Mus musculus: one gene and its partners. The protein of the gene in region 1 interacts with the protein of each later gene in a pairwise test. Links are inferred from orthologs where the notes say so. Each region holds a gene or a part of one and is shown in the gene's direction. Other genes may lie near its edges.

Region 1 (4,559 bases):
GTAAGGGAAACCTGGAGAAGAGAAGACATCCAAATTTCCATCTGGGGTTCTTGGACCAGAGGTTAAAAGGGAAAGGATGTTCAGCTTTAGGGGAAGGTACAGATCGTCAGAGGATAAAGAGATAAAGCACACCCCACCCCCACCCCCACCCCACCACGCGGAACCGAGCAGTGACACCAGCAGCTGAGTTTTGGGCTAGTGTCCTCAGTCTCTGGACCCTACTCTCTCCCCTACCCATGCCTCACTCACCTCAGTTCACCTGAGTTGCCCCCAATGAAGCCATAACGGTCAGCCTGGCGATATGGACTGGGCCCACTCAGCTCTGAGTCAGACCCTAGGGAGCTAGAATCATCCTGTAGTTCTGATAACAAGTCCTCTCCCAGGGCCTGGGCCATTCTGCCCTGGACCCCAGTGTCACAGGCTGCAAGACATACAGAGAGCCAGTGTGAACAGCCAGACTCAGGCTGGGGATTCCAGCCACCAGTCCTCAGTCACAGGGGACTAAGCCCCCTCTTTTGCTGGGGAGTCGGGTAGACCCTGAGACCAAGTCTCTGTGCAGAGCCCCAGCCCCAAGCCTGGCCCCTACCCCAGCAGCCCGGCTCACCTCCTTGCTGCACCTCACCTCTTCTTCTCACTTCCTCCTCAGTCTCAGCTCAGCAGCTTGCTGGGGGCCCCTCCCTGGTGGGGGGACTCCCCCCTTCCTCTGTGAGGTTCTTCCTGCTTGCCCTAGTGCCAGAGCCACGACCTCCTCCCATCCAGAGGATGCTGGGTGTATTGATTCCCTGGCTGGCCCAAATTGAAGATGACAGGCCACCTTCAGTTTTACCAAGTAAAACCAATTTATGGTTCCAATAATAATTATCCTTTAATGTCATCCCACCCCTCCAACCCCCTGCCCCGGGTTTTTTGTTTTGTTTTGTTTTGAGAGTGAAGGGGTAGTGTGAGAACAGGGTCTTATGTAGCCCAGACAGGAGATGACCCTGAACTTCTGATCCTCCTGTGTCCAGACTCCTGAGTGCAGGAATTTCAGGCACTGGAATTATAGGTTTACGACACCAAGCCTACTTTAATGTTCCTTCCAGAGCCGGAGCTGGAACCTCAGGCCTTGCACATGCTAGACAAGTCCAAGTACTCTACAAAGGACTTACAACATGAACGAGATACAACGTATTACATCACTTATGGAAAAAAAATGGACGTAGCAGGCACCAAGGCAACCTGGACCAAAACACTGCTTAGAGTTCAGTAGCAGGTGTTCATGGGTCTGGCCATAAAGATGGAGGTGAATGTGAGGCTCCGGAGGTCTGGAGCCCACTCTCAGTATCATTAAGCCTTAGTTTCTTTTTCTGCACTTCGAGGAATTTATTTAGTGTTTGAGAAGTCAGCGATTAACATGCTCATACCACAGTCCCACGCAGGGCTGGGGTGGGAGAGACTTGGAAAGAGAAAAACAATTCCTACAGTACTTCCGGCCCTAACTCATCTGAACGCGGCAGGGCGATTCCTCCAGGGTGGAGCCGACCTAACCCCGCCCTACCGAACCCCGGCTCACCACCCCTGCCAGCCCCGCCCGCTCGCCCGAGGCCCTCTCGGGCTGCGGAGCTTCCCGTCCAGGGGAGGCGCTAGAGAGCGGGGAACTACGGACGCGGCAGGGCGGGGCGGGGCGGTCGACCGAAGAGGAGGGGCGGCGGGCCGGGGGCGGGCTGGGGAGGGCGGAAGGAGAGCCAGGCCGGAAGGAGGCTGTAAGAGGGCGGGAGGCAGGAGAGGGCCCGGAGCTGGTGGGCCGGAGCGGCGGCGCCGCCATGTCCGACAGCGAGAAGCTCAACCTGGACTCCATCATCGGGCGCCTGCTGGAAGGTGGGCAGGGGTAGGGAAGGTGCGCTCGCGCCGAGCCCGGGCCCCTCGCCGTCTGGAAGTGGCGCGCGGGCGGCCCGCCGCTCCCGGGGGCTAGCGTCGCTTGGGCGGGGACAGGCCGTGAGGATCCATGGCCACGGCACCCCCCCCCCCCGCGGGCGCCTGGGCTTTGGAGCGCGCTCAGAGGCCGGGGGTGCACGAGTGCCCGGGACTCAGGGTGAGGCTCCTGCGAAGCTAGCTGGGAAGGGATCCCGAAGCGAGGAAGCTTCGGCTGACAGGCTGCTGAGCACAGGCGTTTCTCTGGAGGCCCTCCGGGTGGCTAAGGGGTCGGATCTTGCCTTTGAAGGCCTGACGCAAAGGTTTCGGGGTGAGGGGGTGGGGGCTCACTTGCAACAGTTGCCCCTGTTAGGGGGGCGCGACACCTACCCTCGTCCGGTCTGCGAGGTCAGGGTCCCAAGACCCTATTCCGTACTCAGTGCAGGGCTCACGGCCTGGGAAGAACGTGCAGCTGACAGAGAACGAGATCCGTGGTCTGTGCCTCAAATCCCGGGAGATTTTCCTGAGCCAGCCCATTCTTCTGGAGCTTGAGGCGCCCCTCAAGATCTGTGGTAAATCCTTGCACAGAACCCTTTTGCTTCCTGAAAATAGCCCCTACTCGTGCCCCATTAACCGTGTTCCTCCACCCTTTAACCTATTGCTGGCCCTGGGGTCAAGTTTACATCTTGCACCTACCTAGTTTTCTCTGGTTCCCAGGTGACATCCATGGCCAGTACTATGACCTTCTACGGCTGTTTGAGTATGGTGGCTTCCCTCCAGAGAGCAACTACCTCTTCTTGGGGGATTATGTAGATCGGGGCAAGCAGTCTTTGGAGACCATCTGCCTGTTGCTGGCCTATAAGATCAGATACCCGGAGAATTTCTTTCTACTTCGTGGGAACCATGAGTGTGCCAGCATCAACCGCATTTATGGCTTCTATGATGAATGTAAGTGCTTTGAATGTTGCTGTCTGCCCAGAACTACATTCCCTGCTCTTCATGGGCCCCCTACATTGGTCTAGTGCCAAAAGACCCCCAATGATGAGCCCTGTAGGGCCCCAGCAACACGTCTGTCGTCCTTGGCGCTCAGGAGGGGCCTGGTGAATGGATGTACATGCAGGGCTGCCCATTTGCTAAAGCCACAGCCCTGCCTGATGACACCCCCTTCTAGTACATTCCTTAGTAAACATTTAGGATGCCTGTATGAATAAAACAGACCCACTCCTGGTTTGGCCTCATCCATGGGACCAGAGTGGGTACCACCATCATGGTTGGGCCAGACGAGTTCAGGTGTTGGAATTCTGGAAGGTAGATGAGGGTAGAGCAAAGAGAAGAATGTAAGCTTTCTTTGCTTTTCGGTCTTTTTTTCTCAGCTTTGTCCCTGGATGGGTGCACAGAAACCTAGACTGGGGTTGGGGGTTGGGGGTGTAGTCTTCCCTATGAGCCGCTTCCTTTTGCGCAGGCAAGAGAAGATACAACATCAAACTGTGGAAGACGTTCACTGACTGCTTCAACTGCCTGCCCATTGCAGCCATTGTGGATGAGAAGATCTTCTGCTGCCACGGGGGTGAGAGTGGTTGTGGGTCTGTGCTTGGGTTCTTGGGCCACATCCTTAGGGGCCTTGTAAAGTTAACAGAACTCTTCTCAGTTCCCTGGAATAGCGCTCCTTGAATCTCATCTTGGATATCGCTTATTAGGGGAGATTACCACACCCCCGTTTGTTTTTGAGACTGGCTTTCTGGGTAAAACCCTGACAGTCCTGGAACTCACTTTGTAGACCTGGTTGGCCTTGAACTCACTAGAGCTCCTGCCTATCTCTGACTCCCAAGTGATGGGATTAAAGGCATGCTCCACCCACCAGTTTGGTTGCACTCTTTCCTGTTGTGGCATGAGGCATCCTGTAGTCAACTCATTAATCTCCTTCTGCCCCCCCACCCCCGAGGTCTGCTATCTGTACTTCTAAGTGGTGGTGTCATATAAAGTGAGTTCCAGGACAGCCAAGGCCACAGAGAAATGGGGCCAGTGGGGAAGTAATGGATTCTGTCTCCCTGAACTTAAGGAGCCCAGATTAGCGGTGGGAACAGTGGAGCTGTCCCACCCCAGAGCTGGGCACAGGACAGCACTTGGTTTAAGGAACACTATTCCCACTCCACCACCCCCAGGCCTGTCTCCAGACTTGCAATCCATGGAGCAGATTAGGCGTATTATGCGGCCCACAGACGTGCCTGACCAGGGCCTACTGTGTGATCTCCTGTGGTCTGACCCTGACAAGGATGTTCAAGGCTGGGGCGAGAATGACCGTGGTGTCTCCTTTACCTTTGGGGCTGAGGTGGTAGCCAAGTTCCTGCACAAGCATGATTTGGACCTCATCTGCAGAGCACATCAGGTGGGCTGGTGGCCTGGGGCGGGCTGGGGGTGGGGGTGGGGTGCCTAACTTACAGACTAAACCGTTCCTGCCCTGGCCCAGGTTGTAGAAGATGGCTATGAGTTCTTTGCCAAGAGACAGTTGGTGACACTCTTCTCAGCTCCCAACTACTGTGGAGAGTTTGACAATGCTGGTGCCATGATGAGTGTGGATGAGACCCTCATGTGTTCCTTCCAGGTGGGTGTGGGGAAGAGGCTGCCCAATAGACGCCTGGCTCAACCCCAGGACCCTGATGAGTGTTTTC
Region 2 (3,948 bases), on another chromosome or scaffold:
CTATAGCTCTTGACCCAAGCACATGGGTAGTAGTTTCATCCAGAGAGGGACCTTCCCCAGGGCTCAGGAAGCAGGAAGCTGAGCAGAGGATGCAAGACTGTTGGGATGACAGTGGGCCTGTGCTGGTTTATAAAGAGTAGCAAGAGGAAGCTGGTGGTGGATCAGGAGAAAATAGAGCTGTCAATGGATGCTCACAGATGAGCAACTGCAGAGAGGACAGGGCTCTGGAAGGCTGGCCTTTCCTGGAAGTCCCATCTTCCTGACTCTACTTTCTCTCCTAGATTTGTATGCCAGGGATAGGGCATCAATTACCCACACAGAAAAATCACAGCTGTTGGCACAAGGGTCTCGATGTACCAGATGTTAGTGTAGATGTCACCCCTGCCTTTTGATGAAGCTGTTACTCCTGCTTCTCTTGATTTTGAGACATAGTTTCATGGTGTAGCCTAGCCTGGCTCGAAACCTGGGATCCCTTGAGACAGCAGGTGAGCACAAGCACGCATAGCCTCATTGTCCCTTCCTTTAAAACCTTGAACTAGTCCTGTACAAGGGCATTACCACTGATGTGGGTCACTATCAGGAAGTCACTACAAGTAAGATGTACACAGAGGTTTAGTTAAAGCCAAGCCAACGTGCACACCAAGCTTCTCTGACTCTAGAATCTATCAAGATGGCATGCTTAGCCGGGCAGTGGTGGTGCATGCCTTTAATCCCAGCACTTGGGAGGCAGAGGCAGGCTGATTTCTGAGTTCGAGGCCAGCCTGGTCTACAGAGTGAGTTCCAGGACAGTCAGGGCTACACAGAGAAACCATGTCTCGAAAAACAAAAACAAACAAACAAAAAATAAACAAAAAACCCCAAACCCAAACAAAAAAATATGGCATGCTTGCAAGTGTGAGGGGTCCAGGCTACTGAATGAGGAGGGACGTGGTCACCTGTGCCTGAAGTGACTTCCTGACTCCCTATTTCTCATGGTCTCTTGTTCACTGAATGTGAAGGTAATTAAGTCCACACATGGAGGATCAGTGTCTTCCCACCATCAAGACAAGATACCATTTGTCCCCAGTCTTGTTCTCTCTTAACCATGCTATGGCAGCCTCCTCTAATTATTCCATTTTGCCTTCGAACCAGCCAATATACCGTCTGCATCCACTGCGGAAGAAGCAGACGCTGGCAGCCTCCTGCCCACCACTGATGAGCCCTCTCAAGCCTTAGCTGGGTCTGACTCCCTGGACAGTCCTCCCAGATCCCTGGAGAGATCTGTGAGCCAGCTCCCCAGCCCTCCACTGCTGCCCACCCCGCCACCCAAGGCCAGCTCTAAAGCCACAAAAAATGTCACAGGTGAGTCTGCTTGTCCTCCCATCCATCCACCCATCCACCAATCCACCCATTTATCCATTCATCGATCTACCTATTCATCCATCCATCCATTCATCTGTCCATCTGTCTGTCCACCTGTCTGTCTGTCTGTCCATCCATATCTTCAAACCATCATGCCTACACCAGCTCCAGGCTGACTCTTGTCATTGCCTCAGCACCCTGTCCCTGCAGGCCACAAAAAGAGTTCCCAGAAGGCCATAGTTGTTGACTGCAGACTGCTTGGACACTCTTTGACAGAAGGGAGGGTCCTGCAACAGTCAGAGGAGAAATCTTCTAGACTCTGAATCCAGAGTATATAGCCAGCCCTCAGGGTGGCACTTTCTCTGCTAACACATGGTTGTCTGTAGTGTTTCTGCTGCTCCCATGAATGCCCCGGAATGCCCATTTTCTCCTTCACAACAGCTCCATCTATGCATCAGGGAAGAGCCAGGAGTCGGCACTGGCCCTTCCTGTGGCAACACAGTTGGGCAAAAAAAAAAAAACCCATTGTCATCAACCACTGTGCTATCCTCACCTTCTCACCGCAGCCCTGGCCTCACAGGGGACTCGCTGCAGAGTCAACATTTACTCATCAAGCCTTCAGGGCCAGGCACCTCTGTCTCACAGGGAGGCAGGCTATCACCGGCTAATTTTTAGAGCGCATTCCCACATGCTCCCTTGGAAGTAGTGGACACTAGAGAGCAAAGCCCAGCTCAGTGTAGCCGCTTACTCTGTGGACAGGCACTACACATGCGGGTCTACTTTTTTTGACTACTTTATTAGGTTCTTATATCCACTACCCTTCCAATCTTTATCCCACCCTAATCCCTTCCAACCCCCCAACACCAGGTAGGAGAGAAAATAGATTAGAGGGGAAAGAGGTGTAGACCCCTAGACCTCTTTAGACTACTTCCTGCTGATTAGGGGTGTTAGGTTTCTTGGGGGCAAGACCAATCTTGGTCATCAGGATATCTTCAACTTCTTTTCTTGTCTCTTGGCTTACAACCGCTTAACAAACCACAACAGCGACCACCAGCAGCAGGGAGAGCAGCAGCTGCCACAGGCTCTCTCAGGTCTCTCGTGGGGCTAGCAACAGTATCATTGTCTTACACTGATGTCACTTAATAGCTGTGAAGAGACATCATGACCACAGCAATGCTTATAAAATAAAGCTTTTATCTGAGGGCCTGTTCATAGAGTCCGAGGCTTAGTCCTTAGTTATCATGGCAGAGGCGTGATGGCAGGCAAGCAGGCAGCTTGAGAGCTTACTTATATCCTTATGCTGAACCTGGTGTGAGCTTTTTAAACCTCAATGGCCACACCTCCTAGTCCTTCCCACACAGTTCTGCTAAGTAGGGATTGTGCCTGCAAATATTTGAACCCAGGGAGGGCTATTCTCATTAAAATCACTACATATACTTGCCTCATCCTGGTTTGCACAGGAGAGTGCTTGACAGGCTGGTGTGTCAGCCGCTGGCACAAGGAAGATGAGAGGGCTCAGGAGGATGACTGTTCCTCCTTACTCTTCAGGAGAGGTCACTCTGCCCTCACCCTGATTCTAGATGTCTGGCCGCTGGGGTAGAGTGAGCTGTCCTGTTGTTTGAAGCCACCAGGTTGTTGCTCTAGGCCCTGTCTCCAAAGGCCCTTGGTCTCTGCATTCGCAATCAGATGCAGGTGCAGTCATTGTACCAGACACGCAGTGGGTGTAGGCAGTTGACTAAGGTGATGAATGAAGAATCAGAACTCTGCTCTCTACATCGCTGGAAATGAGTTGCTGACTGGGATGACCACAGAGTGAAAAATTTGAGGCAAACCAATACCCTTTAGTGTTTGGTTTCTATGTTTGCAATAACTCCCCTTTCCCAATTTTGACATCTGAAGTATTTCAGAATCACTTGATGGAACACCACATGCCTCCCCCCCTTTCCCCTACAGAAAGCACCACAGGTCTGATAGTCTGTAGACTCTGTTTCCTTTCCACTTGAGAGACTCCCACTGCAGGCTGTGAACATTTGCCTCACTAACTGCCTTATCCACTCCCTCTGGGTCCCCAGGATCTGTCCACAGCCAGTCTGTCCACACCTGTCATCTCACCCTTGTCTCCATGGAAGGGACTCAGAGGCATCAGGGTCCTGAGTGGTCTAAATAGGAAGGTGGCCATGAGCTCAGGACTTCTGTCTGGAACCTAAGTGGCCTTTGGTGTCCAGTCTTTTCCTTTGCTTCCTGGGACATGTTGTTTCCACTCGTGAACACTAGGTGACAGACTCAGACAGCGTTCCTGTCTTGTGCTTGTCTCCTTGGTACTGGGGAGGTGGATGAGGTACATCCTAGCCTGACACCAGGACCCGAGGTCTGCATCTACCTGAGTTACAATGGCAGAGTAACCTGTCAGCAACAGGTTTATCTCTCACAGTCCTAGAGGCTGTAAGTTCTGGGTTGGGCTACTGCCAACCCACTTGAAGTTTGGCAAGGGCCTGCTTCTGGATTTGTAGGGTAGATTTCTGGCCCCATACATTTGTGTTGTATGTGTGTTCACATGATTGCATAGATGTGGAAACCATTGGGGGACGGAGGAGGAGGAGAGAGCTG
Region 3 (4,521 bases), on another chromosome or scaffold:
CTGAAGCCCGAAGTAACTTATTTGCATACTCGGACCTCCTGCTACTATGAAAAAAACGACTCATTGCTAATTACGTTTTCCTAAAGCTTTTAGGATTAAGAAACCAGTTACTGCCAGACACAAGTAATAAGATGTTGTGGGGGCGTAAACAGTAAAAACTCTTGGTTTCAGGGAAGAAAGAGCTTGTTCCTTGCTCAACAAGTCATGAGGATCAGCTGACCCTCCCCCAGGGCAGCAAGATTCTCCTCCTTAGTGTAACCACTACGCTCTGTGATAGCCACTTGGTCTTTGCATTGTGGATTAAAATGAGAATAAGAAAGTGAACTAAAGACCAGGCATGGTGGTGCATGCCTTTAATCTCTTTGCTGGAGAGGAAGAGACAGAACTAATAAGTTCAAGGCCAGCCTGGTCTACATCGCCAGTTCCAAACAGTCAGGGCTCTGTAGAGAGACCCGGCCTCAAATAAACAAATAAATAGATAAGTAAGAAAAGAAAAAAATAAAAATAAAAAAGGAAGAAAGAAACCAAACTAGTAAGAGATAAATCAGCCAGTACTTGGTTGGAAGGCCGAGGCAGAAAGATTGTGGTTAGTTTGAGGCCAGCCTGAGCTTCATAGTAAAATCTGTTTCAAACAAACAAAATCCTCCCCTTATTACAGTAATTAAAATTAATCAGCCAATATTTTTCAGAGGACAAAAGTCACCAATGTGTTATCCTTCGCCGGATGCTCTACTCTGTGGCTCTTGTTACTGAGGAAATAAGTGAATTGAACGCGCTGTTTCTGAGTTAGTTAACAGTTATCTTCCCACCTGTGACTTCAGCTTGCTAGTAACACCGCGTTTTTCTTTCTGAGGGGTATTTTGTCAAATGGACCCTGAAAGATGTCCAAATTAGATCACAGGCAATGCTAGAGACTTAGAAATCCTAAAGCAGAGGGGACAGGAATGTGTGAGTGATTCAGTTTCACTATGATTCACTAGGGATGATGTGTGTCTTAGCACCAGGCGAGTTGGTTATACAGCACTGCCTACATCGTTTCACTCCAGTCTTCCTACGCCCTTAATAGGAGAAGACCGATACACGTGTCAGATAAGCGGATAATTTGCCTAGCAATCGGATCCATAAAAAAGGGCTCGGGAGAATTCTCGGGTTCTCTTGAAACCCACTCACCTCCCCAGCCATTCCCTTTGACCTAGAGGGTGGGGCGCGGAGTCTCCTAGGAGACCAGAATGAACTGACTGCGCAAGCGTACATCCTAGGTCCGGCTGATGCAACTCGCCGCGTGCGAGCCCCGCTCTACCCCGAGTAAGGAAGCCGACAGGGACCACAGACGCGGCCAATCAGAGGCCACGCACGAGGGTGAGGCAAGTCCGCCTCTCGGGAGGCAAGGGTGGGGGTTCGGCGAATGACGTGAGGCGCCGCTGGGCGGTAGGGAGTAGACGCCCTCGGTCCTCCGTCTCGCCCTGCAGCTTCCGGGTGTGCGGCTGCGGCCATTTTGAGCTTCGCTTCTTTGCGCCCTCGCCTGCCACCCAGCCACCCTTTCCGCCTTGGCGTTTCGCGCCTCCGTGCGGGCCACCGGAAACGCCGCCGTCGTCTCCGTCGCCGCCGCGCGAGGGAGGGTCTTCTCTATGGTGGAGCGATCTCACACGGCCTAGGACGTCTCCTTCCCTAGCCGGGATGGACCTAACCGCGGTCGCCACCGCTTGCGCGGGCCTCTGGGCCGTCCGGTGCAGCACTCGTTGCGGAAGCCGCCGCTCTCTGGGCCTCCTCTGCCGGCGCGGGAATCGGACTGCAGTACCCACTCCGTGGCTGGGCAAGGCGGAGACTGTGTAGACCTCGGATCCAGCCTGCGCTGACGCCGCTGAGCTCTGTCCTCCTCCTGTCTGAGAAGCCGCCAAGGAAAGGAGATGGAGACAGGAACGCACAGGGCCCGGAAGCGGCCTGGCCCTCGGCTGGGCTCCTGGTTCCGGCTGCCCTTCCTTCGGCGATCGCACGCCTGCTCTTCGGAGTTCCCGCCGCCTTCCTCTCGACAAAATCCCGGGAACTCCGCTCTGCCCGAGCGTCGGACCAGGTACTGGACCAAATTGCTTTCTCAGCTCCTTGCCCTGCTCCCTAGCCTATTCCAGAAGCTGCTGCTTTGGAGCCAGCTTTTCGGGGGCCTGATTCCTACCAGATGGCTAGATTTTGCCGCAAGTTACAGCGCCCTGAGAGCTTTGAGAGGACGGGAGGAATCTGCCGCTCCCACGGTGCAGAAGTCTCTGAGTTCACTGCGGCTGGACTCTTCGGAAGACTTGGTTGTCAGTTCTCTTGATTGGCTAGAGGAGGGACTCCAGTGGCAGTGCTCGTCCTCAGACCTGGAGTTAAAACTCAAGGCCCAGGAAAGAGCTTTAGACTCTGCAGCGCCCACTTTCCTCCTGGAGCAGCAGCTGTGGGGAGTGGAGTTGCTGCCCAGTAGCCTTCAAGCTGGTCTAGTCTCCCACCGAGAACTTGACTCTTCATCCTCTGGGCCTCTGAGCGTTCAGAGCTTAGGTAATTTCAAGGTAGTTTCCTATCTCCTGAACCCTTCCTACCTGGACTACCTTCCCCAGTTAGGGCTGCGCTGTCAGAGCAGCGCTGGAGGTGGCCAGTTTGTGGGTTTCCGAACACTAACCCCAGAGAGCTGCTATCTTTCTGAAGATGGTTGTCACCCTCAGCCGTTGCGGGCAGAGATGTCGGCAACCGCCTGGAGAAGGTGTCCGCCTCTCTCTACAGAAGGCCTGCCGGAAATCCACCACCTTCGTATGAAACGGCTAGAATTCCTCCAGGCTAACAAAGGGCAAGAGTTACCCACCCCTGACCAAGATAATGGCTATCATAGCCTGGAGGAGGAACATAACCTTCTCCGGATGGACCCACAACATTGCACAGATAACCCAGCACAGGCGGTGTCCCCTGCTGCAGACAGGCCGGAGCCCACTGAGAAAAAACCAGAATTGGTGATTCAAGAAGTTTCACAGAGCCCCCAGGGAAGCAGTCTGTTTTGTGAATTACCCGTGGAAAAAGAATGTGAAGAGGACCACACTAATGCAACTGACCTCTCAGATAGAGGAGAGAGCCTTCCTGTTTCTACCAGACCAGTTTGTAGCAACAAACTGATAGATTATATTTTGGGAGGCGCCCCCAGTGACTTGGAAGCCAGCTCTGATTCTGAAAGTGAGGATTGGGGCGAGGAACCTGAGGACGATGGCTTTGATAGCGATGGCTCCCTGTCTGAATCAGACGTGGAACAGGACTCGGAAGGCCTTCACCTTTGGAACTCTTTCCACAGTGTAGATCCTTACAACCCCCAAAACTTTACAGCCACGATTCAGACGGCTGCCAGAATTGCCCCCAGAGACCCATCAGATTCAGGGACATCCTGGTCTGGCAGCTGTGGTGTAGGGAGCTGTCAGGAGGGACCCCTTCCGGAGACCCCCGACCATAGTTCCGGGGAGGAAGATGACTGGGAACCGAGTGCAGATGAAGCAGAGAATCTTAAATTGTGGAACTCTTTCTGTCATTCTGAGGACCCCTACAACCTTTTAAATTTTAAGGCTCCTTTTCAACCGTCAGGGAAGAATTGGAAAGGCCGTCAGGACTCAAAGGCCTCTTCTGAGGCTACAGTGGCCTTCTCTGGCCATCATACCTTACTTTCTTGTAAGGCCCAGCTGTTAGAGAGCCAAGAAGATAATTGTCCAGGCTGTGGGCTGGGTGAGGCTCTTGCTGGAGAAAGATACACCCATATCAAGAGAAAAAAGGTTTGTTCCCTTTTACATGACTAATAACTTGCTCTATTTTGATATGGTTACTATAGCAGCATGACTTTGCCTCTGGAGGCACAGTTGTGCACATTTTTGAGGAAGGCATCTGAGCTGGTGTTCTTGAATTGAGAAATACTCCAGTGTGATCCTTCTTCCCAATATAGAGAAATGTTCTTCTCCAAATGAAAGGTGCCAGTATTAGATGTTAGCAGGGGTGTCATTTTGGTTGGTGGAACCTGAAAGTTAGAAATGGTTTTGCATGTGTTTTATTTGAAAGTATATAATGTTTTATTTTCATGGCTACAGTGTCCTTATTCCTATCCATTGGAATCCAGAGGAATAACACTAGCAAGCAGCAAATTAGGTTTGTTCAGTTGTTTGCCCTGAAAGTGGTACTGTGGTGTGTGCCTGTAATTCCAGTACTTTAGAAGCAGGTGGGTGTTCTGGAGTTTTGGAGTCTAGCCTGGTCTACCTAGTGAGTTCCAGACTAGCTAAAGATACATGAGCAGGACCTTATCTCAAAAAGGGGGTGGGGGTGGGGCATACACCTGGCTTTCCTGCAGTCAGTTGTGTTCCCAGCTGTCCGGAACCTCCAGCCCAGTTTGTTTTTTAGGTCTCTTATGTAACACAAGACCTCACTGTGAAGTCCAAGCTGGCCTTTGAGCCTGGTGTCTCAAGCTTCCCGAGTGCAGGGATGATTGTGAGCCTCCCGGCTTGTTTAAAACTTCACCGGGCAGTCCTT
Region 4 (4,556 bases), on another chromosome or scaffold:
TTGTTAGGTGTGGGTGACAGCTTCTAAAGATGACACATACCTATGACCTAGGCAAGAGGGAAAAATCCTAAGCAAATCTATGTTAAATGCGAAGTTAACTGCCTCTAAACTTTAACATCCTTATTTTTTCTTTGAAAAAGCCACTCATAAAACTACTTTATAAGTACTTTTAATTACAAAACAAAGCACATGCCAATTATCCAATAATCTTTGTAACCTCTCATTTTCTCTGATTGACCAATTATGTATAGAACCTCTTCACTTTCTTTTTCATGTATCCTTCAAACCAGAGTTTAACAAGCCAGCACCCAGGTGTCTTTAGTCATCTGTTGCACACACTGCCTTATGAGCTTAGAATATAAACACTACAAAAATTTATATCCTTTCACTGCTGTACATCTATTAAAGAATTTTTGTGATTGTTGACTGTGTAAATAGGCACTTTACAAACAAAGCATTACTGGAAAAGACACAAGCCAAACATTACCAAGTTATCAGTACTTCTCAGCGTTTTGTAGAAAAAAAAAAGCCACACCCAGTTTTCAGGCTACCACGAATGAGTATCACTTTCGTTTTTCCTTAAGTTTTGTTTTCTAAAAAAGTGCTACCAAGTGTGGTGGCCCACACCCTTAATCCTAGCGTTTGGGGAGCAGCGGCAGGTTGATCTCTGTGAGGCTGAGGCCAGTCTAGTCTACAGTTCCAGGACAGGCAGAGATCACCCTCCCTCCCTCCTTTCACTCACTTACACACACACACACACACACACACACATCTTTAAAAAAAGGGCAGCTGTCTCCTTATGGCTCCCCTTCTTTGTAGTTAATAAACAATGCTAAATGAAGCTCCAAACATGACTCTTGAGTCATCTGTGTTGCTGACCAAATTTATAGACTATTTGTGAAAATTCTAGTAACTGGGAATTTGTCTAAGTTTGAGTAACAACTTAAGGTCATTATTTAAAATACTGGAAAAAGGCAAATACTTTTAAGTTTTTTTTCAAAATCACTGTTATGTGGCTTCCAAATAAAAACTCAAAATCGATTTTTTTTTTTTTTAGGGCTAGGGTATAGCTTATTGGTATACCATTCACGTGAAAATTCAAGAATATGGTTGATATGGCTACGACTCAAAAATGGAAACACACCCCAAGAGTGTAACTAAACACAATTTTAAAGGGTCAACAGGTGAATAAAAATTTTAAACTGGGTAAAAGCAATTTCATAAAGGTCCATGAAACTATAATTTTCGCCATAAGATGACATGCAGAATTGCCTTTCTGATCATTTCTCCTCCCAGGGACATTTGAAAAGGAGTGGCCAAAGTAGCAGGGGAACTGCGCAACAGCTTGGGATCAAGGACTGAAACTTGCCCTTTCCCAAAGCCTCTGGGAGCCAGGACCAGCGCCCCCGGTGGTGGGCAACTGGCCATCAGCAGCTTGGCACAGGCCACTTGTCCTACCACCTCCTGGTCGCCCCCACCTTTCCCTCCAAGGCCAAGGACAGAGACGTCCTCCTCCCCCTTCTCCTCCTCTTTGGTGCCTTCAGCCAGGAGGCGGGAGTGACCCGCAGCAGCTGACCCAGCTCGGGCACTGCCTCTCCGACAGCCCTCAGGACACACCATGGGCCTGGAGGCTGGTTGGTGGCACACGAGCGAGGACGCAGGCGGCGGCCCCGGCGACTCTCAACTGCCTCCCTGACCACTGCGACAACCTCCCCGAAGCCATCGCCACTACCCGCAGCGGAATCTATCTGCGGCCAATCTATCGCCACGAACCGACTACCAGCTACGTAAACAACTATGGCGGGAGAAAGGTGGCAGGCCGAGGGGCCCGGAGAAGGTTGGGCCATCTACGTCACACCCAGAGCCCCCATCCGGGAGGGAAGGCGGAGGCTCGACCCGCGAAATGGCGACAGCAGTGACGCGCCTGCGTACGGAGCTCACCCGTCGCGCCGCGGACGACGGGAAGTGAGGTTTTCAGAGGAGCCGGCAGAAGTGTACGGCGACTTCGAGCCCCGGGCGGCCAAAGAAAGGTCTCCGGGGGGGAGACGAACCCCGCCAGAAAAGTTCCGGCCGGCTTCTGCGGGAGAGGAAGTGAGAGAAAGCGCTTACAACCTTCGCTCTCGACCACGGAGGCAGCGGCGAGCCCAGGAAGCCGAGGAGATGAAGACGCGGAGGTCTGCTCGCCTTGAGCAGCACTCACAGCAGCCGCAGCTGTCTCCGGCCACGAGCGGCCGAGGGTTACGGGACTCTCCGTCCTCCAGTGAGGACCGCGAAGGTAACAGTCTCGGCTGCGGGCTCGGGAGCGCGCGCGGCGGCGGGCACGCGGCGGCAGGCGCGCCCCCGTGGAGGCCGGCCCCGCTCCGGCCCCGCCTGGGTCCTGGTGATTTCTGCGGCCCTTTGGGCGCGCACTCCCGGATTGAGTCCACCCGGACCCTCAAGAGGGAAGGACGCAGTGGGCCGCGCGGGAAGGTGGTGGTGCGAAGTGACCCGAGCGGAGGCGGGCAGCTCTGCCTAGTCCTGGAGCTTCAGTTTGGGGGGTCTAGGTCTCCTCTTTCTGTAGGCTTTTGCTAGAGGTCGGCGGCTAAGCCATTGTCGGAGCCCCAAACTACTCTGCGCTCGGTTTCATTTCCGTCCTCTGAAGTTTCTACTGAAGCCACTTCCATTTCCTTTTTTTTTTTTTTTTTTTTTTTTTTAAATCTCGGGGGCCCCAAGTCCCCAGCTGAAAATCCTGTTTTTAAGTTAACTTTCCAGTCGGTTTCTTTCGTTTTTTTTTTTTTTCACCAAGATTGGGAAAACGAGATCATTTCTAGGCGGATGCTACGAGGAGTAGCTGACTTTAATGAATGGGTTGGTGACATTACTCCAAATACAGAGTCTGGTCTCTGCCAGACTTTCCCCCCAGATTGGAGGCCATCACGGTAATCTTAAGTAGCTAAACAAGTCAAGACTGACAAACTACTGAAACAAAACAAGGTTCTATTTATTAGTAAAGCTTATATATGAAGCCCCAGATGCCAACAGGGTGTGTACTATAGTTTTAGTTAAGTCACACAGATGAACCAAATTCTTCAAGCCATCCTCTTATTCCCTGCACTCGGATATAACTGAGTCACAGGTGGTTCCAGTAAGCCCCATGTCAGTCACCTAATTATGAGGTAAAATTCTGAGGGTTAGAGTCACAGTGGGATGGCCTCCCTAATACATTTGATGCATCTGAACAGGAGTGGATTTAAAGCTTAGAGCACAGTAAACTGGCTTGCAGATTTACCTACTTGCCCTTAAAGTCCTGACACACTTGAAGATCTGTTCATTTGGGAAACTTTATGCTAGAGATGTGCATGCTCTTTTGGATGTAAGGAGACAGTTTATTTGCTTATACATGTCAGCATTTCTTTTAAGATGGCAAAGTTGGGAGAAAAAAAAAGGAACCTGTCACGCATGTATGCCTGGTCGAAATTTAGGTACTTGTGTTAATTCTGTCTCAGAAACTGAGACAGTGTTTGCACATGGGAGGCAATGTAACTGTTACTTTTTATTGACTTTCCCACAGAGCCTCCTGCACCTAAATTCAGTTTACCTTTTATACATTTTTAGAGGATTTAAACATTTCTTTTACCTGACTCTTGAACCTACCTTTTAATTTTTTATATTTTCTTTATTTACATTTCAAATGTTATCCCCTTTCCTCATTTCCCCTCCGAAAACTCCCCTATATCCCCCCCCCCCCCCAACCAATCCAATCCCTCTCCCTGGCCCTGGCATTCCCCTACACTGGGGCATAGAGCCTTCACAGGACCAAGGGCCTAACCTTTTAACTTGCTAAAGTAGCATTTTTGTCGTAAAGCAACAAGTAGTGGTTTGTATGTTGTTTCACTTCCATGGTTTGCAGCTGCACGTACCTGTGTGAGTATGTGCACGTGAGTACAGGTAGCCTTGGAAGCCAGAAGATGGTGTTGGGTCCCTTGGAGCTGAAGCTACAGAATATCGTAAGCCTTTTGGACTTCGGAAGTCCTCGGAAAGAGCAGCAAATGCCCGTAAACACTGAACTCTCCCCAGCCCTCATCATACTCTGTCTTAATAGGATTTCTAACTGGTTTAATTCCCAAGTTTTGAACCTAGAGAAGTTGAATACTTGCATCTCTCTGTATAGATTACTGGTAAATATGCATACTGTGTGCCATGGTCTCTCCCAGGTCATCTAACTTGAATTTTACCTCTTGTTGGTGCTGTAGAGGATGAACCTTCTTCCCGACCTGTTACAAGCCAAACAGCCTCAAAGAAAACTCTTAGAACACCAGAGGCTTCAGGTAAGAAGAGTTTGGTCTTTTGGTTTTCTCTTTTCCTGCCAAAGACTCATGAAGAATCACAGCTCAAGCTGGGCGTGGTGGCATATGACTGTAATCCCAGCACATGGGAGGCAGAGGCAGGCGGAACTCTAGGAGTTCAAGGCCAGCCTGGTCTACAAAGAGAGTTCCAGGATAGCTAGGGCTGTTACACAGAGAAACCCTGCCTGGAAAAAACGTACATCAATCAATCAGTCGGTCAATCACAAGAGG
Region 5 (3,565 bases), on another chromosome or scaffold:
GTTGGTGTTAGGGGAGATTCAATGGCTGGGCTATAGCTCAGGCAGGGAGAGCGCCTCCTAGTGGGGAGGAGGACCTGGTGTCCATCACCAGCACTGCATAAACCAGGTATCTTGGTGCACCCATCGTCCTGGAACTTGGGTGGTGAAAGCCGAGGAATCAGGGATTCGAGGTCATCCTCCGCAAGCTTGAGGCCATGGCCCTTTCCCAAATGAAAGTAGTCGGCTTCAGACCACAGGCTAGGCCCTGGGCATAAATAATGCTTGAATCTTCCTAGCTGAATCCGATCAGCCGGCTAGACTGATCTGACACTGCCAGTACATCGGGGTTTGAGTAAGAGATCCTTGTAGCTGTGGAGCACAGTGTGTACCCCTCCCCCACAGACAGCACCCCACTCTCTGGGAGAGCTAAATCTCTCTCTCTCTCACACCGTCTTTCTGTACTTATAGTTTTCAGTGGCTGGAGTTCCGGAGTCAGGGGCAGGCGTGCCTCTCACAGCGGATGCCATCGATGACGCCTCTGTAGAGGAGGACTTGGCAGTGGCCGTGGCAAATGGCCGCCTGGAGGAAGCCAATTTCCTCCAGCCCCATCCACCTCGGCAGCGACGGGCTCTCCTTCGGGCTTCCGGCGTTCGAAGGATTGACCGAGAGGAGAAGCGGGAGCTGCAGGTGCTGCGCCAGTCCCGGGAGGATTGTGGTTGTCACTGTGATGGCGTCTGTGACCCTGAGACCTGCAGTTGCAGCTTGGCCGGCATTAAGTGCCAGGTGCGTGGTCGGACTGGGTAAGATAAGGGGGGTGTGCCTATAATCCCAGTACTCGGGCAGGGCTACACAGGGAAGCCCTGTCTGTGGGGAGCCGGGCCTGCTGGCTTCTTGCATCTCCGAAGTTCTCACTTTGGCTTTGTCTTTCTCTGCAGATGGATCACACGTCCTTCCCCTGTGGCTGCTGCAGGGAGGGCTGCGAGAACCCCAATGGTCGAGTGGAATTCAATCAGACAAGAGTTCAGACGCACTTCATTCACACCCTCACCCGCCTGCAGATGGAGCAGGGTGCCGAGAGCTTGGGGGACCTGGAGTCCCCCGTGGAGGACACTCCTGTTGAACAAGCCGCGCTTTCCCCCTTTCCGCCTTCCAAGCCCCCTGTGAGCAGTGAACTGGGGGACAGCAGTTGCAGCAGCGATATGACAGACTCTTCCACGACCTTGTCCTCTGGCAGCAGCGAGCCTCCAAACCACCCTGCCCACCCCAGCCTGCCAGGTCCCAGCTTCCGGTCTGGCGTAGATGAAGACAGCCTGGAACAGATCCTGAATTTCAGTGACTCTGACCTCGGAATTGAGGAGGAGGAGGAGGAGGGAGGGGGTGTGGGCAACTTGGATAACCTCAGCTGCTTCCATCTGGCTGACATCTTTGGTACCGGTGACCCCGGCAGCCTGGCCAGCTGGACTCACAGCCAGTCTGGCTCTAGCCTCGCATCGGGCATCCTAGATGAGAATGCCAACCTGGACGCCAGTTGCTTCCTGAACAGCGGACTTGGAGGGCTGAGAGAAGGTAGCCTCCCTGGCAGTTCTGGGTCCCCTGAGGGGGACGCCGTCCAGAGCAGCTCCTGGGACCTCAGCTTATCCTCCTGTGACTCCTTTGAGCTTCTCCAGGCTCTGCCAGATTATAGTCTGGGACCTCACTATACTTCCCGAAGGGTGTCGGGCAGCCCGGATAGCCTTGAGACCTTCCACCCATTGCCCAGCTTCTCTCCACCACGGGATGCGAGCACTTGCTTCCTGGAGTCTCTCGTGGGCCTGTCTGAGCCGGTTACAGAAGTCCTGGCACCCCTTCTGGAGAGCCAGTTTGAGGATGCTGCCTTGGCACCTTTGTTGGAGCCTGTGCCAGTGTAAGGATTAAGGTGCCTTCTTCCTGCCCTGAGACCCTGTTGCTGCTCTTTGTGATCTTGGGGTTCCCCGAGGTCTATGTATGTAACGGTCTCCTACGGGCTGGTCCTGCTCATGGTGCCATGTGGGCACCCTCTATTTTTACATTAACACTCTGAATTTATTTATTTTTTTATGTTTTTCTGTACTGAAGAAGGGAGGGTGGGGAGGGTACCCCTCTTTCAATGCCTGGTCTCTTTATGTCCAAACAGAGGTCTTCCACCTCCTACTGTATGCCTGAAGGAGGAAGGGGCGGGGCTCTCCTGGAGCCTCGCAGTCCCTCTTTCTGTACTGTAAGATGCTCCTTGCTCCAAAGACAGCGACGGCTGAGCGCAGGGCCTTAGGGGCTTCTGTGAACCATAGGAGCTAGGTCTTCTGGACTGTGAAGATGTAATTTATATCTGTAATTTATTTGGGGATGGAGACGGCAGTGGTGGAGCCTCTCTGGCGGGTGGGCAGGCAGTGTTGGGGCCGAGGCTTCGGTGTACCCTGCCAGTCTGGGCTTCGGTGTGGTGTGTGGGTTCGAGTTTATGGCTGCTCTATTAAACAGCGGCCTGGCTCAACTGAGCAGACAGAGGCTGTGCTTGACCAGCGGTGACCAAAACCCCTTCTGCCCCCTTCCCAGAAACTCTACTTGCCCTCTTTCCAATTCCCTCTCCCCAAGGCCATGGATTATAAAGCCCCTCTGTAAGATGGTGAGCCAGGGGCCCTAAGAGGGCATGAAGCACACCCTGATCACTGTCTCAGGCCTTTCTGGGCACTGACTCGACCCTGGCCCACCTCACGCCCCCAGGCCAGTTGGCAACTGGTGGCTCTTGAGAGCTCTTACGCCCTTCATTAGCTGATGTTGGATTTTATATGCATTTTTTTATTGTCTCTAAGTGTCAGAACTATAATTTATTCATTTCTTTGTGTGTGTGTGTGTGCCAAGAAACGCAGGCTCTGGGCCTGCCTCCTTGCCCAGGAGGCCTTGCCAGCCTGTGTGCTTGTGGGAACACACTGTACCTGAGCTGACAGGTACCAATAAAGATGCTCTATTTTTAAGTGTGGTCTTCTTGGTGAGGTGGGGAGTGTGGGGTACCCCCAGGAAGCATGTGGGGTGGGGCACTATCATGTAGCATGGACAGAAGCTGTACTGAGGCAGGAGGACAGCATGTTGGGCTTTCTTCCAGGCGGGCCAGTCAGGCTGTAGGCAGAGAGCCAGCTGAGGTTGGCTGGGCAAGTGGAACAGTTTTTTTTTTTTCCCCTCTGAATTAACCCATTCCTCCATGATGCCATCTGGAGTTGTAAGGAGGCAGAGCTGTCTGCTCAGGCCCAGGGAGGGCAGCCTAGCCTAGTGGAGGCCTGGCCTGGTGACAGGCTGCTCAGGCAGCTGTAGTCCCTGGGGACTTGAGCTCCAGAACTGTCTCTACCTGCCAGACCTGCCAGACCTGTCCTGAGGCAGCCAGAATAGGGTTTAAGGTCAGGGGTGCAGAGCAGGCTGCCGTACCCCGTTTTGGGGAACCTCTGTCTGGAGCCTGACTGCTAGTGATTTGCACAGGCCCTCTGGAGAATGACCACAGGAGAGCCTTCCTGTGCTAAAGCCCCTCTACTGTATTCTACCCAGAAGAATGGATGCAGTCCCAGCTCTCGCTGCCTAGTGAGGC
Region 6 (3,948 bases), on another chromosome or scaffold:
CTGTAAATTTTCCCTTACCATGGCAGAAACCCAAATGAAATGGTATTTGTAAAATAGGCGGTGTTTCCAACACCGCAAAACAGAATTCCAGAAAGGCGGGGGCTTTAGAGGCTGTGCATTGCCGTCCCGAGGAGTAGGGCAGCCCTGCTACTGCTTTGAACAGTTGGATTTCTTCAAAACCACAACCGGTTCAAATTATACTCAAAACGAGAGCTGATAGGAGAAAGGATGAGCTGTATTTGGGTTCTTTAAGAAAAACTAATATTCTTTCAATTCAGAAGTGTTGGCTTGAGGCTTTGAGCCACTTTTCATGGTCTTAGTGTTAGTTGGGAAACAAATTCCGAAGACTTTGGTCCTAGGAGTTGAATGGCTCAGCACCATACAACTGGGTTTCTGTATGTTTCAGAATGCTCAGCATGTGGAAGTAGAGAGCATCCCTTTGCCAGACATGCCGCATGCTCCTTCCAACATCTTGATCCAGGACATTCCTCTTCCTGGTGCACAGCCCCCCTCCATCCTGAAGAAAACCTCAGCGTATGGGTAAGGAAGCCTTACATAATGGAGGGTGGACTGCAGGAGCAGGCCCGGCTAGCACAGCAGCAGCACGGGGTGCTGTGGCTGAGCGGACGGGACATGAGAGCCTGGAGAAGGTTCCTGCCACTCAGCGCCACTGTCCTTCTCCCCCTCCACAGGCCTCCAGCTCGGGCCGTGTCTATCCTTCCTCTCCTGGGACATGGTGTTCCCCGCTTGCCCCCTGGCAGAAAACCGCCCGGCCCTCCACCTGGCCCCCCTCCTCCTCAGGTTCTGCAGATGTACGGCCGGAAAGTGGGCTTCGCTCTAGATCTTCCCCCTCGGAGGCGAGATGAGGACATGCTGTATAGTCCAGAGCTTGGTAGGCAGGGGCAGGGGTTTCCTCCCGTGCCCTTCTCAGTATTGCTTCCATGCTGACCATAGTTAACGTTTGCTACACGGAGAACACAGGAACGCCATGAGGATGCTGTGCTCTTCTGCTGTGTGTCCCTGTGGATAATTTAGCACATCTGCCTGATGAAAGCACCTTAGATAGAATGTTGCTGCAGTTCCCATAAGACAGGAAGAGGTCTTCTCAGTTTCATCAGCGCTGACAAGAGTCACTGACTGTGTGTGAGACTTTACACAATTGTTTCTAATACAGTGTGTTTGCACTTCTTACAAGAAAACAAAAAAGTATTTAAAACTATTACCCAACGCAAATGTCATCATAATACATGGTAGCTGGCATTGCATATAGAAATGTTTTGCAAGTAATGTTGAGCCAAAATGGCATGCCTATTTTTGGATACCAGAGGGCCAACCGTGTCATGTGACTCTCGTGCTCTTTCTGTCATCAGCTCAGCGGGGTCATGACGATGACATGTCCAGCACCAGTGAAGACGACGGCTATCCTGAGGACATGGATCAGGATAAGCATGATGACAGTACTGAGGACAGTGACACTGACAGGTCAGATGCAGAGAGTGACGGGGATGAGTTCGGGCACCGCGAGGACAGTGAGCGCGACAACACTGAGGAGAAGAAGTCAGGTGTGTGCGGGTTAATGTGCCGGGCGTAGATGAACACCGCTGACCCCGGTGCTGAAAGCCCTGGCTTTTGTTAATTAGGTTCAGTGTGTGCGCGCCCGAGTGTACATGCGTGCTAGAGCATCTATGTGGCAGTCCCAGTTGGTTTTCCCGATCCACTGCACAGGGGGTGGGGATGCAGCTTGGGTGATTAGGTTTGGTGAGCCAGCTCACCAGTTCAGGACCAGCTTTTAGCTCCAGTTTGGTTTGGCTTGGTTTTGAGACGGGTGTCTATCACTGTTAATTAGGCTGGCCTCGAGCTCATGGTGACCCTCCTGCTTCAGCCTCCCAAGTTGTGGAGTTAGAAATAAATATAAGCCACCGTACCTGGCCATTTATTTGTCTTGATAGTTTGAAAGGTTTTGACATATTATTCTTACAGGTGTTTGTGAGGAAAGAGTAAGTATATGTAGTTTTTTAAAAGTTATGCAAGAAATTCCACTTTGAGGCAAAAATTGCTAATATACTCTATGATGAACGTGCAGTAGGAAAGGAAGAACATGCATGGTTTTAAATAAGCTTGTGTGCGTGTCTACACTGGGAGCTGGGTTTTCTGTTCTTCATGGGGCCTTTCATAAACTGGGTGACCTTTGTAATTCATATATACTTGTAATTTTATATATAATATATGTGTGTGTATATTATATATTAAATATTTTATATACATATATGTGTCTATACACACATTACATTAACATGTATAATTATATACTATGTATATGTATAAAAGTGTATTTTTCTATATGTCTGCACTGTATTTGTATTTAGAACCATACGCCTGTTCCTTCAAAGCTGGTCACTGGTTGGGAAAGCACCTGTGTAGCGCACTTGGCCTGCATGTAAACAAACCGTTCTCCAAGGGTCAGCTGTGAAGCACCGTTCAGAAAGATGTGTGTGTGTGTGTGTGTGTGTGTGTGTGTAGTGCTGGGGAGTAAGCCTAAGACTTGATGTATATTAAATATATTCAGTTCTGCTGTGTCCTCAATTGTGTGCACACTGTATGTTACGTTTTGTCACAAAAATTTTAAGCACTGTGTTTGGGTACTAAGCAGTGCCAAGCACACACTGAGTGTGTCAGAGCCTAGTAGCCGGGGAGCTTCTTAGGGGCTGTAGCTGTAGTCTCCAGGACGGCATCTGTATACTGTGGTTTTATTTATAAGATCAGCAAGTGACTCTCTTTTTTTTTTAATTGTGTGTGTCTGTGTGCCTCCTACACTTGCGTGTGCCTTGGAGACTACACGGCACTAGATCCCTCAGAGCTGGGTTGTCCAGAGCCCTCTGGAATGCATTAGTGCTCCTTAATCATGATTACGAATGAAAGAAAAGCTTATCAAAAAACTATCATAAATTGGTGTAGGAGCAAGCCTGATCTTGGAAAATTATAGAAGACTCATAAGTTGGAACTGGTCTTAGAAAGGAGAGTGGGGTAGAACTCCAAGTGCAGGACTCCCCTGTAAGACTGCATCCTCTCTCTACTCTGCGGCTGCCAGCTGCTGCTGAGGTCCTGGGGGGTGGCGCTGGGACAGGGTCTTCTGTGTAGCCTTGGCTAGCACAGGACTTACTGACTGGCCTTGAACTGACTGAAGTCCACCTGCTGCTTCCTACTGAACGTTGTGTTCCCCAGTGTGTGTGGACCTCAGATGGCTGGCCCAGCTGCACGTCCTCTCATCTGCTACTGCCTTTACCATAGCCAGGCATTTTTCTGGGCAGTAAAAGTCCAAGATACACTAAAGCTGAACCCACATAGAAATAAATATTCCCTTCCTTAAGTGTTGGCTAAGATGTCAGACACCAGATCAGAAGTGCAGTATCTGTCAGGGTTACTGAAAGATTCTGTAGTGGAAGTGGTGTTGGGGACCGATCATAATCTTTAATCACCTGTTAGAGTATTACTAAGATTTTCCCACCTTTTATGGGGCCTTTTGTCATGATTAGATTACTAATTTTCTAGTGTAAACCATTGGGTACTTTTGGTGCACCCTGCATGCTATGATCGATTTTCCTTACCCAGCACTGTCAGACTCAGTTGTGTTATATTTTATGTTGGTTAATAGGGTATGCTGGTTTCCTGAGTTGGTCAGCTTTCATCTTTTCTGTGACTTACTGTTTTGCTGAATTGCTAAAGAAAATTGTTGCTTTAAGATACATCTTTACCGTTTCAGCTTTTATGTTTAGGGCTTAAAATTGAATTATCTAATTCAGTTTATATACTTCTTAAGTATCCTAACATTTTCTGAACATTAAGTTTTAAGTTAATGCAGTATATTTCATAAGCAACCAATTAGCACAACGCTGATTTCCTGTAATGTCCCTGTACATCTGCCTTGTATCGTGTAATGGGTTACAGTCA
Region 7 (3,542 bases), on another chromosome or scaffold:
CGAGGTGTTTGCAGCAAGCAAGACAGAAGTACAACCAGGACCCGTTTGGACTGCTGTGGGACAGCAGCATCTTCCACCAGGCAGGGAAGTGATAAGAGCAGGCTCAGGCTGGGGGGGGGGGGGGTCCAGGGAACAGTGCCGTTTGGGGCATGGTACCTCAGACTTCGAGGTGGGTCTAGATTAGGTACAGGATCCTGCGGGAGCTCAGGACTTGGGGCTCTGTGCATAGAACTGCTGTGTGAGGTGCTGCTGTTTGAAGCTACAGAGAGCAGAATGCAGACTGAGCTGTCAGGAATCCAGTCCCCTGGGAGCTGGAAAGGGGCTGGATTATTCAGGAATCTCCAAAGATAGGGACTGGTCAACAAACCAGGGCTACAGAGGGCTGGCTCAGAGCTGGTCTGGTGGTGACTGTCTTTCGTAGCTACCATCTCCCTAGCCCTGAGGCATGTCACTCCCATCTTTAGGATAAGGCAGAAGTTGCTAATTGGTGGTGACTCATGGGTGCCTGCTACCGCCCCTAGCAGAACTCTAAGGTCAGCCTCAGAGAATTAGTAGCTGGGGGCCAGTTGGCTCCAAGAGTGCAGGAATCCTTAGAAGCTGTTGGCTCCCCCCAGGGCTCACTCTGGTCTCCTCCAACCCAGGGCTGCTCTTTTCTCACAGTTGCAGAGTCTGGAGCAGGAGAAAGGGCGCTGGCGGGTAGAGAAGGCCCAGCTGGAGCAGAGCGTGGAGGAGAATAAGGAGCGGATGGAGAAGCTAGAGGGCTACTGGGGTGAGGCCCAGAGCCTGTGCCAGGCTGTGGATGAGCACCTGCGGGAGACCCAGGCCCAGTATCAGGCCCTGGAGCGCAAGTACAGCAAGGCCAAGCGTCTCATCAAGGACTACCAGCAAAAGTATGTGTCAAGAGCGTTGGGTCTAGGCCCAGGCAGGTGGAGGGGCCTTTAGTGGTAGTCCCCACCCCAGCCTTCCTCCCGCTGAGGAGGGAGACAGTGGACACAGAGTTAGAGGGCACCACGATGGGGTACCAGACTCAGCCCTATGGGCCTTGGGAAAGCCTGCTTCTCTCTGGACCAAAGCCACACCATTCACCCGAACCCACCATCTGTTCCTTGCCTGTCTCCAGGGAGATCGAGTTCCTGAAAAAAGAGACAGCCCAGCGTCGGGTACTGGAAGAGTCGGAGCTAGCCAGGAAGGAGGAAATGGACAAACTTCTGGACAAGGTAGCGCCCTGGGCAGCCTACAGAGTGAGCAGCATGGAAGCTGGAATCCAGTACTCACTTAATCCATGGTGTTTGGGAAGGATTGTGGTGCTGGCTGGGAGCTCAGGGTCGTAGCTTAGGGTGGGGGTAAAGTTACAGGGCCCGTGCTGAGTGGCCAGGCCTGATGCCTCCTCTCTTTGTTCTCTAGATCTCAGAACTGGAAGGAAACCTGCAGACACTGAGGAACTCCAATTCTACTTAACAGGAATAACTCCTTGGCCGGACAATAATAATCCCCTCCCATTATCCTCACCCCCTGTCCTCAATCCCCACCCCACCCCTACCAGCCTGGGGACAGGTGCCCCGACTTCCCCTACTCCTCCACCCCACCTCCCCCAGCTTCAGGGACCAGAGGGCCCATATTACAGGCCCCTTTAGGGTGGCCAGGGCAGACAATGCTGGCTGGAAGAGTGGTCTCCTTGCCCTGTGGGGCTGAGGCGCAGAGGCCGAGAGAAGCTAAGAGCTGGCCTGGGTGGTGGATGGACACGAGGACCTGCAGACCAAACTGCCAGACTTTATAACCTCCAGCCTGTGTCTCTGGACCGGAGTGGAGCTGGGGCTCTCCCAGCATCTCACCACTTGGAGGCTGCTCCCTGCCCACAGGGTCCGTATGGCCCCTGGGCCTCTTGACTTGAGATTCTCCGTTCTTGGCCCTTTCCTCTTCCCCCATCATTGTGCTGTCTGTTGCATTCTGGCCTCCTGCTTGGAGGGGTTGCCTCAACATCTCCCACCCCTGCTCCCCATCCCAGGAGGGATAGAGCCCACCCTTGAGCCAGAGGCTGGGCCTGGGCCTGCACTGATTTGTATCCTTCAGGGGGAGGTGATTGGGCGTCGGGGGAAGGGTCAGTCCAGCACACCTGGGGTCCAGCACCCCTTTCCTAGGAAGGGCAACAGCCCTCAACTTCTCCTTGTGCCTCCCCTCTCCCAGGTGCCAAACAGCCATAGGCGTCCTCCTGGAACTGCCCTGAGGCCACTCTGGGCTTCTGGTTTCCTTGGTCTAGCCCAGGAATGCCAGGAGGGAGGGAGGTCAGCTTAGATGGTGTGCCTGCAGAGCTCTCCCTGGGGAGCTAGGCCCTGCCTAGGGCCACACCTGGAGGCCTTGTATTACCATCGAGGAGACTCTGCCTCCCCTCTTCCCCTCCCCCGCTGTTTTCCAACGTTTTCACTGGAGGGCAAAATTTTACTAATCTTTTTGGAGACCAGGGCTGCTTGCTGTCAGCCTGCTTTCTAAGTGAAATTGACTCAGTTTCCCCACTTTAACCCCAAATTGGGGCTTGGACCAAGGGAGGTGAGACCCCCTCAGGTACCCTCCCCTTTCAGAATCCATCTCTTGCCACTTCCACATTACCACCCTTGCCCTAAGCCTAAATTTCTGTTCCTTTTTTTCTTCTTTTGAAAACGACCCAGTTCTATCCTTTTCGGTTTCTCCGAGTCCCCTGTAAATAGACCATGCCATCAATCAGTATTTCTTGCCCGTCTCTTCCGTCCCTAGACGTGCCCCCGACTCCCCGGAAAGAGCTGGCTGTCACTGTGCCCGGCCCCTGCACTTCACCCAGGCAGATGGAGGGGGTGGAGCCGGGTGGGCGGGTCCTCGATGTACTTCCGGTTTTGACCGGCAGCGCTCCTGCCCCGCCCTTGGAGGACCCCGTCTCTGTATATAATATATATATGTATGTATTGTTCCTGGTTTTGTACGGACCATGCCCTCTGTCAGGTCGTCCCCATAAAAGCAGCCCCCAGAGCCTCGTCGCCTGGTTTCTTGATGCGCTGGAGTGGGGAGGGGAAGAGATGCTAGAAAGTCCTCTCCTTTTACTAATTTTGCACATGATCTAGAGAGGATCTTAATGCTGGTTCGGTTCTCCGACCCCAGCAAACTCACTTGCCACCACTCCCTAGTTTTCTTGAGCTCTCTAGACGATGTCTTTAGGTCTGTTTTTCACGAGGTCTTTAGAGTAGCCAGGGATGGGCTGCACACAGGGAAAGCAACTCCCCTTCCCTGAAAACCGAGCAATCTGCAAGACCCCAGAGGTCTCAAAGTACCAGGAGGACCAAAGATTCCCTAGGAGATAAGTTGTCAGAGCATTGTCCTCACGGTCAAAGAGAATGTTCTTTGGCCCTCCTGAGCTGGCTTGAGAGGCCTCATATAGTCCTAGCTGCCCCCTTAGCTAGCTCTCAGTTCCAGGAATCAGTTTTGGTGAGTCGCAGAAGTGAATTGTAATGAGACTTCTGCAGTACACAACACAGCCATTTCTTGTACAGATCCTTGGGAGGCAAATATGTTCAGTA

What was found.
Region 2: the proteins of Ppp1ca (region 1) and Phactr3 interact in a two-hybrid assay, tested with the Homo sapiens proteins (2 studies listed by BioGRID and IntAct). The link is inferred for Mus musculus from reciprocal best matches to the Homo sapiens genes PPP1CA and PHACTR3.
Region 3: the proteins of Ppp1ca (region 1) and Ppp1r15b interact in binary tests that used the Homo sapiens proteins (3 or more experiments, as listed by UniProt). The link is inferred for Mus musculus from reciprocal best matches to the Homo sapiens genes PPP1CA and PPP1R15B.
Region 4: the proteins of Ppp1ca (region 1) and Tor1aip1 interact in a two-hybrid assay, tested with the Homo sapiens proteins (2 studies listed by BioGRID and IntAct). The link is inferred for Mus musculus from reciprocal best matches to the Homo sapiens genes PPP1CA and TOR1AIP1.
Region 5: the proteins of Ppp1ca (region 1) and Csrnp1 interact in binary tests that used the Homo sapiens proteins (3 or more experiments, as listed by UniProt). The link is inferred for Mus musculus from reciprocal best matches to the Homo sapiens genes PPP1CA and CSRNP1.
Region 6: the proteins of Ppp1ca (region 1) and Wbp11 interact in binary tests that used the Homo sapiens proteins (3 or more experiments, as listed by UniProt). The link is inferred for Mus musculus from reciprocal best matches to the Homo sapiens genes PPP1CA and WBP11.
Region 7: the proteins of Ppp1ca (region 1) and Ppp1r9b interact in binary tests that used the Homo sapiens proteins (3 or more experiments, as listed by UniProt). The link is inferred for Mus musculus from reciprocal best matches to the Homo sapiens genes PPP1CA and PPP1R9B.

Annotation. Positions count from the first base shown.
Region 1 is NC_000085.6:4,190,415-4,194,973, forward strand, and holds the start of Ppp1ca (serine/threonine-protein phosphatase PP1-alpha catalytic subunit), read left to right. Parts: upstream 1-1,759; 5' UTR 1,760-1,802; coding exon 1,803-1,857; intron 1,858-2,330; coding exon 2,331-2,462; intron 2,463-2,607; coding exon 2,608-2,838; intron 2,839-3,352; coding exon 3,353-3,457; intron 3,458-4,052; coding exon 4,053-4,276; intron 4,277-4,357; coding exon 4,358-4,492; intron 4,493-4,559. Other genes in the region: Tbc1d10c (carabin), read right to left, coding at 250-395. UniProt on the Homo sapiens protein: Protein phosphatase that associates with over 200 regulatory proteins to form highly specific holoenzymes which dephosphorylate hundreds of biological targets.
Region 2 is NC_000068.7:178,277,766-178,281,713, forward strand, and holds part of Phactr3 (phosphatase and actin regulator 3), read left to right. Parts: intron 1-1,131; coding exon 1,132-1,341; intron 1,342-3,948.
Region 3 is NC_000067.6:133,129,840-133,134,360, forward strand, and holds the start of Ppp1r15b (protein phosphatase 1 regulatory subunit 15B), read left to right. Parts: upstream 1-1,326; 5' UTR 1,327-1,907; coding exon 1,908-3,776; intron 3,777-4,521. UniProt on the Homo sapiens protein: Maintains low levels of EIF2S1 phosphorylation in unstressed cells by promoting its dephosphorylation by PP1.
Region 4 is NC_000067.6:156,033,477-156,038,032, reverse strand, and holds the start of Tor1aip1 (torsin-1A-interacting protein 1), read left to right. Parts: upstream 1-1,552; 5' UTR 1,553-1,797; coding exon 1,798-2,275; exon of another isoform or gene 2,276-2,369; intron 2,370-2,825; exon of another isoform or gene 2,826-2,843; coding exon of another isoform or gene 2,844-2,847; intron 2,848-3,215; exon of another isoform or gene 3,216-3,352; intron 3,353-4,232; coding exon 4,233-4,307; intron 4,308-4,556. UniProt on the Homo sapiens protein: Required for nuclear membrane integrity. Induces TOR1A and TOR1B ATPase activity and is required for their location on the nuclear membrane. Binds to A- and B-type lamins. Possible role in membrane attachment and assembly of the nuclear lamina.
Region 5 is NC_000075.6:119,970,561-119,974,125, reverse strand, and holds the end of Csrnp1 (cysteine/serine-rich nuclear protein 1), read left to right. Parts: intron 1-447; coding exon 448-762; intron 763-914; coding exon 915-1,886; 3' UTR 1,887-2,963; downstream 2,964-3,565. UniProt on the Homo sapiens protein: Binds to the consensus sequence 5'-AGAGTG-3' and has transcriptional activator activity. May have a tumor-suppressor function. May play a role in apoptosis.
Region 6 is NC_000072.6:136,818,121-136,822,068, reverse strand, and holds part of Wbp11 (WW domain-binding protein 11), read left to right. Parts: intron 1-406; coding exon 407-540; intron 541-692; coding exon 693-892; intron 893-1,370; coding exon 1,371-1,562; intron 1,563-3,948. UniProt on the Homo sapiens protein: Activates pre-mRNA splicing. May inhibit PP1 phosphatase activity.
Region 7 is NC_000077.6:95,003,901-95,007,442, forward strand, and holds the end of Ppp1r9b (neurabin-2), read left to right. Parts: intron 1-660; coding exon 661-890; intron 891-1,120; coding exon 1,121-1,217; intron 1,218-1,404; coding exon 1,405-1,458; 3' UTR 1,459-2,998; downstream 2,999-3,542. UniProt on the Homo sapiens protein: Seems to act as a scaffold protein in multiple signaling pathways. Modulates excitatory synaptic transmission and dendritic spine morphology. Binds to actin filaments (F-actin) and shows cross-linking activity. Binds along the sides of the F-actin.